Linked DNA regions of Tamandua tetradactyla. Each later gene encodes a partner of the first gene's protein in a complex. Links are inferred from orthologs where the notes say so. Each region holds a gene or a part of one and is shown on either strand. Other genes may lie near its edges.

The links. Proteins that work in one complex are often made in the same cells at the same time.
Region 2: the proteins of MAPKAP1 (region 1) and HRAS are in contact, whole or in part, in a crystal structure (PDB 7VV8), measured with the Homo sapiens proteins. The link is inferred for Tamandua tetradactyla from reciprocal best matches to the Homo sapiens genes MAPKAP1 and HRAS. Residues at the interface, in NP_001006618.1 of Homo sapiens: Glu277, Ser278, Phe280, Ala286, His287, Gly288, Phe289, Ser290, Leu291, Ile292, Gln293, Arg311, Arg312, Lys313; in NP_001123914.1 of Homo sapiens: Gln25, Asp33, Ile36, Glu37, Asp38, Ser39, Tyr40, Arg41, Leu56, Glu63, Tyr64, Met67.

The regions. Positions count from the first base shown.
Region 1 is NC_135328.1:47,965,982-47,973,266, reverse strand, and holds the start of MAPKAP1 (target of rapamycin complex 2 subunit MAPKAP1), read left to right. Parts: upstream 1-4,281; 5' UTR 4,282-4,332; intron 4,333-4,342; exon of another isoform or gene 4,343-4,590; intron 4,591-4,660; exon of another isoform or gene 4,661-4,815; intron 4,816-7,285. UniProt on the Homo sapiens protein: Component of the mechanistic target of rapamycin complex 2 (mTORC2), which transduces signals from growth factors to pathways involved in proliferation, cytoskeletal organization, lipogenesis and anabolic output.
Region 2 is NC_135335.1:395,740-402,887, reverse strand, and holds the start of HRAS (GTPase HRas), read left to right. Parts: upstream 1-4,120; 5' UTR 4,121-4,200; intron 4,201-5,363; exon of another isoform or gene 5,364-5,460; intron 5,461-5,594; exon of another isoform or gene 5,595-5,666; intron 5,667-5,816; exon of another isoform or gene 5,817-5,904; intron 5,905-7,012; exon of another isoform or gene 7,013-7,148. Other genes in the region: LRRC56 (leucine-rich repeat-containing protein 56), read right to left, coding at 910-1,074. UniProt on the Homo sapiens protein: Involved in the activation of Ras protein signal transduction. Ras proteins bind GDP/GTP and possess intrinsic GTPase activity.

The DNA of each region.
Region 1 (7,285 bases):
TCAACTCTGTTTGGAATCTCTCAGCCATTGACACTGTCTCATTTCACTCTTCTTCCTTTTGGTCGAGAAGGTTTTCTCAATCCCTTGATGCTAAGTCTCAGCTCATTCTAGGGTTTTTCTCAATCTCCTGAGGCTGATTCTCAGCTCACTCTAGGATCTCTGTCCCACGTTGCCAGGAAGGTCCACACCCCTGGGAGTCATGTCCCACCTAGACAGGGGGAGGGTGGTGAGATTGCTTGTTGTGTTGGCTGGAGAGAGAGGCCACATCTGAGCAACAAAAGAGGCTCTCTTGGGGGTGACTCATAGGCCTAAATTTTAAGTAGGCTTGACCTATCCTTTGTGGGGTTAAGTTTCATATGAACAAACCCCAAGACTGGAGGCTCAGCCTGTAGCTTTGGTTGTCCACACTGCTTGTGAGAGTATCAAGAATTCAACTTGGGGAAGTTGAATTTCTCCCCGTTCTCACCATTCCCCAAAGGGGGCTTTGCAAATACTTTTCCACTCACTGATCGAATCACTCTGGGATTCATCGGGGCATCACTCTGTACAAAACAACAAAATCTCATGTCCTACCTGAGATTCCAAGTACTTATGTGTTCAATCAAACTATCTACATAAGTTATACTAGGAAATGCACTAGTCAAAATATAAATTTTGTGACAAATAAACATTTTTTGCTTTAGTCTCACACATAAGGTGACATTTTCAAATATTAATTACCATCTATTTTCAGCACCCTGCAGTAATGACATTCCTTTGTTCTTCCTCACGCAAAAATATTTTTAAAATTTGTACATTTAGTCACTATTATTATACACTCTAGGCATTCCTAGATTATACCATCTCAATCTTTAACATCTGCCTTTCTTTCTGATTTCATTTATGTCCCCAGCCCTCTCCCTCTATCATTCTCACATGCAGCTTCATTCAGTGTTTTAACATAATTGTGTTACAGTTAGGTAGTATTGTGCTGTCCATTTCTGAGTTTTTGTATTCAGGCCTGTTGCACAGTCTGTATCCCTTCAGCTCCAATTACCCAATATCTTACCCTATTTTAATGTCAGTTCCACCCTCTGATACAACTCTGCTCCATGGAGGCTTACGTCATCCACTTGCCCTGACCTCTCTTCCCAACTACTTACCTCTCCAATTCTGGTCCTCAGCCACAGAATGGCTTAGGCAGCCTCTGGGTTTCCTTTACACCTCTGCCTCCGGCCATCTTATTAGGGCCTTCTAGAATGGTCCATGAGACATCTCAGTTCCTTCACCATCTTTTTTCTCCACTCCACTTCAGCCAGGACCCTACCCTCACACAGCTTTTCAGCTGAGATTGTTAGTTAAGACATTTCTCTCTGATAACTTCCATCTTTTTGTCTTTGCTCCATCATTGATTCCCATTACACCTGTTCTGAGACCTTCTGATCAGTGGCATCAACTTTCCACAATTCTCTTGCATCTTTATCCAAGATACATTTGGTGACCTGTTGTTTTAAGCATTCTTAAGAGGTGAGATCTTGAAATCCTTGACCCCATCACACCTGCCTAGCAAAAGTCCTTCCTTTGACTAATTTAATTGCTCACTCCTTGTGTGCTTATATCTTTTTTAAAAATTGAGATATATTATATACTCACATACCATATAATCATCCAACTTGTACAACCAGTGGTTCACAGTATCATCATATAGCTGTGTCTTTGTCATCACAATAGAGTCTTTAAAATTTTTTTATGCTGTATGGCAGGGTCACATTTCATTATTTTTCCATGTGAGTATCCCATTATTGCAGCACTATTTGTTGAATTTTTGTTTTTTGGAAGTTCATGGAGTGGAAATTGAACCCAGGTCTCCTGCCTGGCAGGTGAGAATTCTACCACTGAACTACCCTTGCACCCCCACCATAGACTTCTGAACATTTTCATTACTTCCCCCAAATTAAGATAAGAATAAAACTAAAAATAAAAGTGAAAAAGAACACCTAAATCATCCCATACCCCCACATTAGTTATTTATTTTTTGTCATTTTTTTTTCCTACTCATCTGTCTATACACTGGATAAAGGAATGTCAGTTTATGGGGATTCCCTGGAGAACAGGGTAGAAGAAGGGGCACTGTGCAGGATTAAGAAACGACAGACACAAGATGATAGTTAAGATGGGTCAGGGGACTCAAGCTCATCAGGAGCAAGAGCCCCGAATACACTGACGCCCACATATTTATTGTGCTCTTATATGGGAACTGCTTTAGGGCATATAACCAAACCAAGATTATTTTTGAATAACTGTCATGCTTACAAAGCTACAAAGTTTGGTTCCCAGCTCCTTATCCCAGGAACCATTTATTTCTTATCAGAATGTTCTCTTTAGACCTCCTCAGACCTTAAAGTTAATATTCTCAAGGACAATTGCCACATTGGTTTACCATATTAGGAGAGCATGGTTTGCCTATACCCCGTGTCCTCTGTCAACCTCCTTGAGAACACCTGCTTCTGTAGTTTACCACATAGCAGAGCACAGTGTGTCTATGCCCTTGCTTCTGCAGTTTACCACATTAGCAGAGCACGGTGTGCCTATGCCCCGTGTCCTTAGTCAACCTCCTTGAGAACACTTGTTTCTGTAGTTTGCCGTATCAGCAGGGCACAGTTTGCCTAGGCCCCACGTCCTCAACTATTAGCCAACTTCCAGAGTCTTCATGGCTGGTCTCTGAAAGTCAGTCAGAAGGTTTTCACAATCACATCGTCTGTGTGCCTGTATCTTGACTGCTCAAACTGGCTATAGATAAATTATACAAACCATCATATTACTAACACTGTAAACTCAAGAGTTTCCATCCTCAACTGGACTCTCAACACTGTACTTGAAATCTTGCCATATTTCCCAGCACTCCAATTTGCCACAGGGTCTACTTCAAATCCATAATCAAACTTGACTAGAAGCTTCATTAGGGCAGGATCCTTGTGTGGCTTCCCCCGCCCCCCCCCCGCAACTGAATCCTCAGCGCCAAGACAGGCTTACTAGATGATAGGTGCTCAATAATTATCTGTTGAACGACAGAGAGGTAGTAATAGCGGTAAGCATTCAGTAAGTATTGGCTATTTGTCTGATTCTTTTCTACAAGAGTTGTAATATGTATTAACTCATTTAATCCTCACAAGAACGCAATGAAGTTAGTGAGGAAGTATATCATTCCCATTTTACAGATAAGGAAATTTAGAGAGACAGCTTGGAGGGATGAAATCACAAAGCTTATAAGTGGTAGAGTGGGTATTTCATCTTTATAACCTATAAATGCTTAACTGGTGCAATCGATTTCCGTTTTTGACAGGCTTTGATTTAGGTGCCTAATGACAATCAGGCAGCTGTACTTTAGGCTCAGGAGAGAGGTGAAAGTGGAAATTAAAATTGAGGAGACGACAGTATATCCACGGTGGTGGGAGCCGCTGGAGCACATAACCTGGTGAAGCAGATAACCTGGTAAGCTTGGAAAACCTAAAACCAGCCTTGTTCACACCTGTTGCTTTGGCATAGCGTCTCCAGCAGTCCCGGGATGGAAACTGGTGGTGTGTGCGCAGAAGCGCTGTGGAGCCTTGCATCTGGGTTGCTAAGGCGCATTTTGGAAAATACTTCCGAGACTAACTCTCAAGTGGAGAACGCTGTTATTGCACTGCTTGGGTCTTTTTTTCTATCCCCATTGCTTTTTTCCCACTTTCTCTAAGAGAGAGAGGCCGCAAGTACTGAGCTCCAAAGTCAGTCCCATTACATCTCACCAAGCTGTTCTTGAGGAAAAGAATTATCCTCATTTTACAGACAATAAGAATAATGAACACTATCACCTAGCATCCGCTACGTGTCAGGTATATTTCGTGCATGAGTGTATTTCAAGCATGATCCCAACCGATTCTTACAACGACTTCGTATTCTGAAGTTGAAACTATTGCTATGGATGGTAAAACTGAGGCTCAAAGAAGGAAGGTATCCTGTCCTAGGGCGCAGAGCAAGTTAGAGAGATGGCATTTGAACTCGGGTCTTTCCTGACCCAGAGGCTAAGAGGCCTCATTACTGACAGATTTGTAGCATGCCCTCAGGGCTTTTCTCTGTGTACGTGAGTAGGAAGGGTAAAGGGATTCGAAGGAGAACGCGAGGACGCTAAAGTCGATTTCAGCCCAAGATTCCAGTATCTCCAATCCAGGATTTTCCCGGGCCTAAGTGGCGGCGCATGCGTATGGCCTCCCGTTCAGCCCCGCCCCACCGGGTGGGCGCCGCTTTTCGCTTTCGGCTCTGGGGCTTGCGCACTTTGTCCCCAGCCAGCGGCTTCTTCCCGGCCGGGGACTTCCGGTACGTTGGGGAGCGGTTCCGGGTCGTGGAGCGACTCCGGGAATCCGGGCTGCTACTTTGCGGGCCAGTGGCGGCGGGCAGCGGGGCAGGAGGGCGAGCCTGGGAAGCAGCAGCTGAGCGGGCTGGGAGGAGAGCCGTTCCGAGGATCCCGAGAGTGCGGAGTTCGGGGCAGGGGCCGGGAGGACCAGGGGAGCCGGGCTCTTTCCTCTGAAACCTGTCCTGGGGCCGGCCTGGCCCACTGTGTGGGAGCAGCTTCAGGTAAAGGTTGCCTTGCCCGCTGGCTCATTCGTTCGCCCGCCAGCCCGCGCGCAGGGCCTGGCGACCCTCCTCCACTCCCCCGCGCTCCGCTTTCCGTCAGGCCCTTGCTTTTGGTTCCCCTGGGAACATCCGTTTCCTGGCCCTTTCCAGAACCGGAGGCTGACAAGACCCTGACAGCTCAGTGTGTTATTTGGAAGAGGAGAAACTAGTAGACCTGGTAGGAAGGTGCGGTTGGCCCCGGCAGTTTCTGGTCCTACACTAAGAAACATTTAGTTGACCCGATCTTCATAACGTGAAAATTAAAGCATTGCCTGTGGTCCTTGGTTCCTAACGCCTCTTCTCCCTGTCCCCCCCCCAATGGATTAAACAGTCTCCGCGAATCTTTTTTTTTTCCTAACTGAGATGTTCTTGGAACTTCGTTTCAGCTTTTTGTTTATGGAAGTGGCAAGGAGTCTTCTAGATCTGTTTAAAGTTGGAAAAAAGCGAGAAATGATTGTAATTTAAACACGAGTATTACTTTAACTGGGGACCAAAAAGTTATCTCAGAAATTGGTTGAAACTTCGTTCTGAATGAATGCAAGTAGTTTTCAAAATCCATTAAGTACCTGGCACTGTGCAAAAGTTGTGAACCAAAATGAACAAGGTCCCAGAGATCCCCAGGTGTGAAGAGTCAAACAGGGAGGCAGGTGTCTACACGCATTAGTTGTTGTTTTTTTTTTTTTTTGTCAGCATTCTCATCTCTTTTTGACAGCAGAAGGAGTGGATTCCTAAAGTTAAAATCCACTAGGGCAGGAAAGCAAAGTCCATGTTTTATTTCTCATATTCTATGAACTCATAGAAGGTGCTTAGTAAATATTTAGTGAAGAGTTCTTGATGAAGCATTGATAGTTTTCATCTTTTTCAGTTTACTTACCTCCAGGCTTACTTCCCATTCAGCTTTGTACTCATACCGACCTTTAACTACTCTGTATGCAGACTGCACTCATCACCTAACAAGCCTCCTTACCAGACTCCTGGCTACCTCTCCAACTACTCTTGAAAAGTCCCCCTTTAATTACCCCATCCTAACCCATTACTCTAGATAAGTAGGATCTCAATTTCCCTTTCTTCTTTCTTATGGCAGTTGCTTTTTTTTTTTTTCCTCACATTTTCCCTGCCTTGTAGGTTCTCCTGTTCTGTTTCCACCTATTGAGATGCTACCTATGGCCTAGCTGAAGTTGGCCTCCTTCAGCTATCTGGACAAATTCCCTGGAAATACTTTATGCTTCTCTAGAAGCATTCATTATCATTCCTACAATTATTTCATTTAGCAAACATTTACTGAGTATGGTTTAATACTCAGCACCATGTTAGGTACTGGGAACTTAAAGGTAAATTACACTCAGTCCTTGTCCTCAGGGAGCTCAATTTAGTAAAAAGAAAGAAATTCATAATGTATAACAGAGCGATAAGTACATTGAGAGTTACACTGGTGATGCAGTGGTGGCATAGAAGGGGAGGGTTTATGGGGATATAGTGGGATATAGCTGGGGAATACTTTGTAATATGGGTAAACCAAGCTTTATTGAGTGTTTACTATATTCTGAGTATTGTACATTTATTTTTCTTCAATCATTTTAACCTCAATTTACAGAATGGGGAAACTCAGGATAAATTAAACAATTAGTTTGTGACAGAGTCTGGATTTAAACCCAGGACTCTCTGATGCCTGTAACTGCTTTTTCTCTATTATGTGCCTTCTTTCTCACACCATAGCTCTCTTTGTACAAGTATATATTGAAGTATCTATAAAAAAGAGAAAGTATGAAATGCATAGAGAAGTTGGTAGTCTAATCTCTCTTTTTAAATGTATTTCTCTTTTGAAGAGTGGGGAAATTTGTTTTTCTTAGTGACTCAAGTAAAGACTTTAGAAACATATTTATATATACTTTGGGCTGAGAGAATCTGCTTTATTGAGCTTTATTGAATGTTTACTATATTCTGAGTATTGTACGTATGTTTTTCTTCAATCATTTTAACCTCAATTTACAGAATAGGGAAAGAAGAGAAAGAAGAGAATCTGTTGGAATTCTGTTATTCTCATGTATAGGCTTTGTTGTTAAGGACATGGCAATGGATGCCAAATTATTTTATGACAAGGATTTCTGTCACAGTACCTATTTTTCCCCATGATAAGTGCCTTGATCTTATTTGACTTGAGTTTGAAGTTTTTGAGAAGTTATTCTCTAAAGTTAGCACATTTTAGCTTGTTTTCAGTTAAAAATGGTTGGGCAGTTATCTTTCAGTTGTTGTTAAATGCTTTTGTATACCTTATTTCCTTTAATCTTCATAATCCTGGAAGACAGGTAGTATTAACCCCATTTAACACAAGTAGCATAAGGCTTAGCAGTTACTTTGCTCAAGAGTCACATAGCTGGTGAGTGATAGAGCCGGAAGTAGTTGGGCAAAAATGAGTAAGCAGATACTTACTCAGTTCTTTTTTGAGCATCTACCTCAGGGGTCACAAACTCAGATGTCCAGGGTGTAATACAATAAGTAGGGAGGGATGGACTGAGGTGAACTGGAGAGCATATGGTGGCAGCTGCTGTTCAGCTCCAGCTGATTGTTGTCTTGTGAGGGAGTGGGATCAGTGTCCCTGGATCTCCTTATTTTTTTTCAGGAGATGTTAGAAATCTAAATGTTGATAGTTTGTCTT
Region 2 (7,148 bases), on another chromosome or scaffold:
CGGCTGACCAGCTCCAAGTCGCCTGGAGACGGCTGGGAGCAGGTGGCCGACGGGGCCCAAGGGGACGCGCCCCGACACAGCCCTGAGGATGAGGCCCCACGCCGGCCCCACTCAGACCTGTAGCCCATCCTGGTCAGGGTCACCTCCACCCACCAGCCCCACCGCATGGACCCCTCCCTAGCTCCTCTCCCCCCAGCTCCATTCCGGTCCCTCCACTCACAGCGCCCCCACTGCTGGGCCTATCCCCAGGCACCCCTTCCCTGGGGCTGGGACCTCCCCATCAGGCTCGCACGTCCCTGGGGCAGGCACAGGGTCCCCAGGGCCTGGAGCCCCCACCACCCCTGCATGCAGGACCCTCGGGGGCAGGTGCTGGGTGGGAGGGGACTGCCTGCCAGCTCGGGACCTCCACAGGGCCCAGTGGGGACACTGGGTGGCTGGGGGTGCGGGCGGGTGAGGGGGTGGCCTGGGAGCTATGGGGGGGCAGCCGGGCTTGTGGGGGACAGGGATTGGCAGGTGAGGGGAAAGGCAGCCTGGGGGTGCACATTCGGCGGTCCTGGGCAGTGCGGGGTGGCACTGAGAAAGGCCTGTGGCCCTGCCCCATATCGGTCAGGTGGGGCCCTGTCCGCCCTGCCTCCGGGGGCTGCAGGGTCTGAGGTTTCCACCTGCCCACCAGGCCGCTTGGGGCCCCTAGCACCCTACCCCACATCCAGCAGAGCCCCACCTGCCTGTCCCACGTCACAGGGCCTGTGAGGCAGTGGAGGGGCTCCTTCCCGAGACACCCACTCTGCGCTCAGCCACCCCTAGCCCTGCTGGACACCCCGCCCGCGGCCGCTTCAGCCGTCCGTGCCCTGCGCTGTGCAGAGGGTCCCCAGGCTCCACCCTCCTGCGGCCCCAGGCCCCGGCACTCACCAGCCGGGTGGGGGACAGGCCTTCCTCCAGCAACGGCCCATTGCGGCCGTCTGCGCCCTCGCTGGGTGGGCAGGGGTTCTGCGGGCCCGGCCAGCTCAGCTCCCACACGCGGATGCTGGGCGTGCGGGGCCGAGGCCCCCCGGCTGTGTCCCAGGCGGGCTCCATTCACATCCCACCTGGCGGGAGGAGCAGAGCGCAAGCTGGGCACGCCGGGGTCCGCAGCCCACCTCCCACCGGCCCCTGGGCTGTTCCCCAGCCCTGTGCCCGATGGTGGGACCGGCCGCCCAGCACACGCAGCATCAGGGTCCCCTCCCACCCTGGGGACCCGACTGATGCAACAACTGCAGCCTCAGCCAACCCAGCTCATACCCTGTCCCCGCCAAGGCTGCCCCAGGCGATCGGCCTCCCGGAACGCTCCAGCCTCTCTGGCTCTGGGGTCTCACACACACACACACACACACACACACACACACACACACACACACACACACACACACACACACACACACACACACACACACACACACACACACGGCCCAAGCAAGGGGCTTCGCTCCACAGCTCTCTCCCCCATCTAAGCCTGGGGAGCTGCAAGGATGGGGGCTGTGAGGCTGTGACCTTGGGGTACTGCGAGGCTAGAGAACTGTGATCTTGGGGGCGGGGGAGGCTGGGGGACTGTGACTCTGGGGAGCTGTGACCTTGGGGTGCTGTGAGACTGGGGGCTGCTTCTGGGGGTCTGTGAGCCTGTGGGGGCGGGTTCCACGGCTGCCCACGACTAGCAATTGAGCACCTAAACAGGCTCCACCCGATGGTCCTGAACCCTAGGCCCAGGAGCAGAGCCCCAGGCACTGCCACCATCCCCCTTGGCACCCCAGCGCTGCCCTGTGCAGTGGAGATCTGTACCTGCGGGCAGCTGCCTTCTCCTGCATGAGTCAGACATCCAGCCGGGGGGCCTCAGGCAGCACCTGCAGGAGAGAGAAGCTGCGACCCAGGCCCAAGGGGTGCCCCCGCCTCCTGCCCGCGGGTGTGAGGGTCGCTGCCGACCCGTGGCCCTCCTCACCCCGCTGGGGCTAAGAGGAGAAGGAGCCAGGCAGGCCCATGGAGCAAGTCACTGCTGCACGGGCTCTCTGGGCCCCCAGGTGAATCCCCACCCCTCTCCCAAGCCCCTTTCCTCCACACCCTGCTGGGACCCGCTGGCCTGGGGTCTGCCCGCTCCGAGCCCTCCCCACCCTTCGGGGCCTGCGCCCGGGTCTCAGCCTGTGGGGTGTGGCCTGCTCCCCGCACCCACGCGCGGCCCCGCATCAAGCAGGCGCGCCTGAGGGGGCGCGTGAACAGCCGGTGAATGGGAGAACGCAAGGGGCCGCGCCCTCGGGCCTGGGGTCCGGGTGGTCCTCACCGGCAGCCCCTCCCCGGACGCGGGCTGAGCAGCCAAGACCCCCGGCCGCGGCCCTGCGTCGGGGGGCGGGGCGCAGGGGGCGCCGGCGGCCTGGAAGTTTCTGTAGCGCCCCCCCCCCCCCCCCCCCGCCCAGCAGGTGCTCAACAAACATCTGCTAAATAAAGGAACGAATTGCCCTTTTTGATGGGTGTTGCAAAATACATCTATTTCGCCATCGTCGAACGCTCAAAAGACAAATCTTATAACTACATCTTTGCAACTGAGATTTCTTCAAAAATTTCCTGAAAGTCAGGTACAAAGAGCTGAACTGTGTGCTGAAAGGGCGACGTCTGGGTGCCGGTGACTGCGCCCTGGAAAGCAGGGGGCTTCCCGCCCCCGCAAAGGCCCTGCAGACCCCGCCCGACCCTCCCACCCCACCCGGGGCGCCAACCCCAGACCCCCTTCCAGCACCTCCTCATTGCCCCTCAGTCCCCACACGAGGCCCCTGTCCAAGAGACCATGTGGCCAGGGCCAGTTTTGGGGGTGCAGGCTCCGCGAGTGGGTGGGGGCATCCACGTGGTTTAGCCCCTGCATTATCCATTCGCTCTGGGCCCCTTCACCGCCCGTCCCGCCTCCCGCCCTCTCCTGATGACCCGGGGCCGCTGTCCCCACCCGGCCTGGCCCCTCCTGCGTGGTGCTTCCCCCAGCGCTGAGCTCCCACGGCCTTACCCAGCCACCGGCTGAGGACCCCGCCTCCCAAGGCCCTGGGCCTCCTCCCCTCTCGTCAGCGCGGATGCCCGGGCCATGGCGGCACAAAGAGCGTGAGTGAGGTGTACGAGCTGGGACTTGGGGTGCAACAGGGAGGTCTGGTAGAACAGCAACCTGGCTCTGCTCTGCGGGCCAGTGCATAGCTGCCGCTGCCACCGAAGTTCCTGTGGGTGGCCGGGTCCGGGAGCAGGGGGCAGCGGGCAGGAGGTGCACACAGCGAGGGACCAACAGCAGGGCGGCAGAATGGGACCAGACCCCACACGCTCAGCGGACCCTCCGTGGCGGGCTTGGCCCAGCACGCAGCTGGGAGGGCGGGAGGGCGGAGGCGCGGCGCAGTCCCGGCTGGCCGCCTTGGTTGGAGGCAATTCTGGTGATCCGCAAGCAGAGTGACCAGATCTCTCACTACTCCCGGGCTCCCAGTGTGACCCCCTCCCTGGCATCCCCTTGGGATGGTGCTGCCCACCTAACCCGCCCCCCCACCCCGACGCCAGCCCAGGGTGATGGGAAGGGCACGGGCCAGGGTGCTATGCTTCCGCGGGCGCCTCTGGCCGGAAGAGGCCGAGCGCCGCCCAATGTGCCCCCGTCCCGCCCTGGTCTCTCTCATGTGCGCCCCCCATGGAGACCCCCAGAACAGAATCTGGGCCCCAGCCTTTGTCTCTCCCTCTCAGGGAAGACCTGACCGCCCCCCCCCACCGTGACCCTAGGGACTAATGCCGGCCCCACCAGGACACTGCGTCCTACTCGCGCCCCTCGGCGTCGCGCAGGGGCGAGGCCTGAGGTCCGGTCCGAGGGCGCCCTCGGCTCTCACCTGGGGATGCCCCCACCGCGGGGCTTTCGGGGAGTCGGGCTGTTCTTCCGCCCGGGGGTTGCGGGCCCGGGCTCCATGGCAACGGGGGCGGGGCCACACGCCACCAAGCCTAAGCCGCGGGGATCCCCCGCCGCGGAGCCCGCGGCTGAGCCACGCCCCCAGGAGCGGTTGCTAGGGCCCGCCGGGCCGGGGCAGTGGTCGCGACCCTGCGCGGCCCGGTACACGCGTGGGAGCCCTCCCCCAGGCTCTGTGCCCCGCGCGCCCGCGGGGGAGCGGGGTGGGAAGGGAGTCGCCATCGGTTGGAGGGGAACCGGGAGGCTCGCGCGCCCCTCTCTCCCAGGTGGGCAGGTCGCCCGAGATCCCCCGGGATTTACCTTCCGCCGCGCAGTGCGAGCAACGCGACGAGAGGGGGCGCGGCGGGGAAAGGACCCTCCTATCCGAGAGAAACCCAGACCGCACCCCGGAGCGCCCATGCGCCCCCGCGTACACCGGCGCTCCCCCGAAACTGGCTCCACGCCCCGCAGCGCGGGTGGGTAGGGCCAAGGTCGCGACGCGGGGGACGCGGCCGTGCGCGGGAGGGGCCAGGCCGGGGTGGAGAGAGTGGCCCGCGGTGTGCGCCCTGGGGCCTCGGCCGAGACGTCAGCGGCTCCTGTGCGCTGGGAGGGCGGCGGGACGGGAAGCCCCTCCGCAGTCCTTCCCCTTTTTTGCTGAAAGAAGTAGGGTGTATTCGTGCAGGACCCCAACGTTTTAGAATACGTTTAAAGTTTCTATTTGAATCGTAAAAAAGAACGCGCGCTTGCGCTTGCGGGAATCTTGTCCGTTCGCCCCCCGGGGCAGCTGTTCGGGTTGGACGTGCCCAGGCGCCGGAATCGGGTGTGCCGTGAGCCCCGCGGGCCGCAGAGGCGCAGCCGGGGGTGCGGGGAGCTGCGTGGGCGGAGGCGTCGGCAGGGCCGGGCTGGGGCTGGGGGCAGCGGGAGACAGGAAAGTGCGAAGCAAGGGCCAGCGTAGGCAAGAGCGCGCGCCGAGACTCGTCCCCCGACCCCGGGCACGGCTGCGGGGCGGGGCCGCCTGGACCGCAGAGACTCGTCCTTCCGCCGCCCTCGCTCTCCCGCGCCCGCGGAGTCCGGCTCCCTAACCCTCCACGACCCCGAGACCCCGCTACGAGTGCGACCCACGCCCACGCCCACGCCCACGCCCACGAACACCACTGGAGCTCGGCCCCGCCCTCCGCGCCGCTCCAGGAAGTCCCGCCCAGCCGCGGTTTGACCGACGGGCCGTTCAGCCAACCGAAGCGCGGTCAGGGCGGAGGCGGCCTTGGGGCGGGGCAGGGACGTGCGGACCAATGGTAGGCCGCGTCTAGTGGACGGACCGACGCGGGGCGGGATCTTGCCGGGCGAGCCAGTAGTGGGCCGCTGCGGGATGACGGACGGACGCAGGGCGGGGCGTTCGTGTGCCCGGCCGAGTCGACGCCGACGCCGTCCGCGCCTCCCGCAGCCGGAGCCGCACCCGCCGCGGAGGGATCCCATGCGCGGGGCGCGTCGCGTTCCCGCCCCGGCCCCAGCCTCCGCCCCGGCCCCGGGGGCAGACGCGTCAGTGGGCGGTGAGTGGCAGGCGAGGGCCAGGGGGCCGCGGCGCGCGGTGGCGTGGGCCTGGCGCCCCTCCCCCTCCGAGGCGCAGGCGCTTCCCCCGAGCAGCGGGCGGGGGCGGCGGGGAGTGCGGCGGGAGCCGCGCCCCACCTCGCCGAGGGCGGGAGGCCAACTTGCTAGTTCTCGGTCTGGGAGGCTGCGGCGGTGGGTGGGGGTACAGGTGAGCCTCGGGGTTCAGGAAGGGGTGCAGGGGAACCTCGGGATTCGAGTGGGAGTAGATGGGTGCCTCGGGGTTAGGGTGAAGGCTGCGGGGGAGCCTTGGGGTTCGAGTGGGGGCTGCAGGGGAGCCTCGTAGTTCGAGAGGGGATGCAGGGGAGCCTCGGGATTTGGGGGGTTGCAGGGGAAATCGGAGTTCGGTTAGGGATACAAGTGAGCCTCGAGTTCGGGTGGGGGTGCAGGTGAGTGTCGGGGTTTGGGTGGGGGTGCAAGGGAGCCTTGGGGTTCGGGTGGGGTTCAGGTGATCCTCGGGATTCTGGTGGGGGTTTAGGTGAGCCTCCGGGTTCTACTAGGTGTACAGGTGAGCCTCGGGCTTCACGTGGCGATGCAGGGTAGCCTCGGGGTTCGCTTGGCTGTGGAAGGGAGCCTCGGGGTTTGGGTGGGGGTACAGGGGAGCCTCGGGGTTTGGGTGGGGTTCAGGTGAGTCTCGGGGTTCATATGGGGGTACAGGGGAGCGTCGGAGTTCGGGTGGGGTTCAGGTGAGTCTCGGGGTTCAGGTGGGGGTACAAGGGAACCTCGGGGTTTGGGTGGAGGTACAGGGGAGCCTCGGGGTTCGGATGGGGTTCAGGTGAGCCTCCGGGTTTGGATGGGATACAGGTGAGCCTCGAGGTTCGGGTGGGGTGCAGGGGAGCTTCAGGGTTTGGGTGGGGGTGCAACAGAGCCTCAGGGTTCGGGTAGGGGTTCAGTTGAGCCTTGGGATTCGGGTGGGGGTTTAGGTGAGCCTCCGGGTTCTGGTGGGTGTTCAGGTGACTGAAGCTCAGGCTTCAGGTGGTGGTGCAGGGCAGCCTCAGAGTTCGCTTGGGGGTGAAAGGGATCGTTGGGTTGGGGTGCAAGGGAGCCTCCACGTTCAAGTAGGGGTGCAGAGGAGCCTCAGGGTTTGGGTGGGGGTGCATGTGAACCTCCGGGTTTGGGTGGGGTACAGGGGAGCCTCAGAGTTCAGGTGGGGGTACAAGGGAACCTCAGGGTCAGATAGGGGTGCAAGGGAGCCTCGGGGTTCAGGTGGGGGTCCATGGGAGACTTGGCCATCGGGTGGACGTGCAGGTGAGCGTTGGGGGTTGAGTGGGGGTGCAGGGGAGCCTCAAAGTTCGGGTAGGGGTTCAGGTGAGCCTCAGGGTCTTGGTGGGGGGATTAGGTGAGCCTCTCCGTTCTGGTGGGGGTACAGGTGAGCTTCGGGTTTCGGGTGGGGGTGCAGGGGAGCCTCGGGGTTCGGGTAGGGGTGCAGGGGAGCCTTGGGGTTTGGGTGGGGGTGGAGAGGAGGCTCAGGGTTTGAGTGGGGGTGCTAAGGAGCCTCAGGGTTCAAGTGATGGTACAGGCTGACACGTGTGTGCCATTGGGGGTATATGTGGGGTTCAAGGCAGTGCCTCAGTTCTGACTGTTCCCTTACTCTTGAGGGGTTTCTTAAGTACTCTCCTGGGATGGGGGGTAT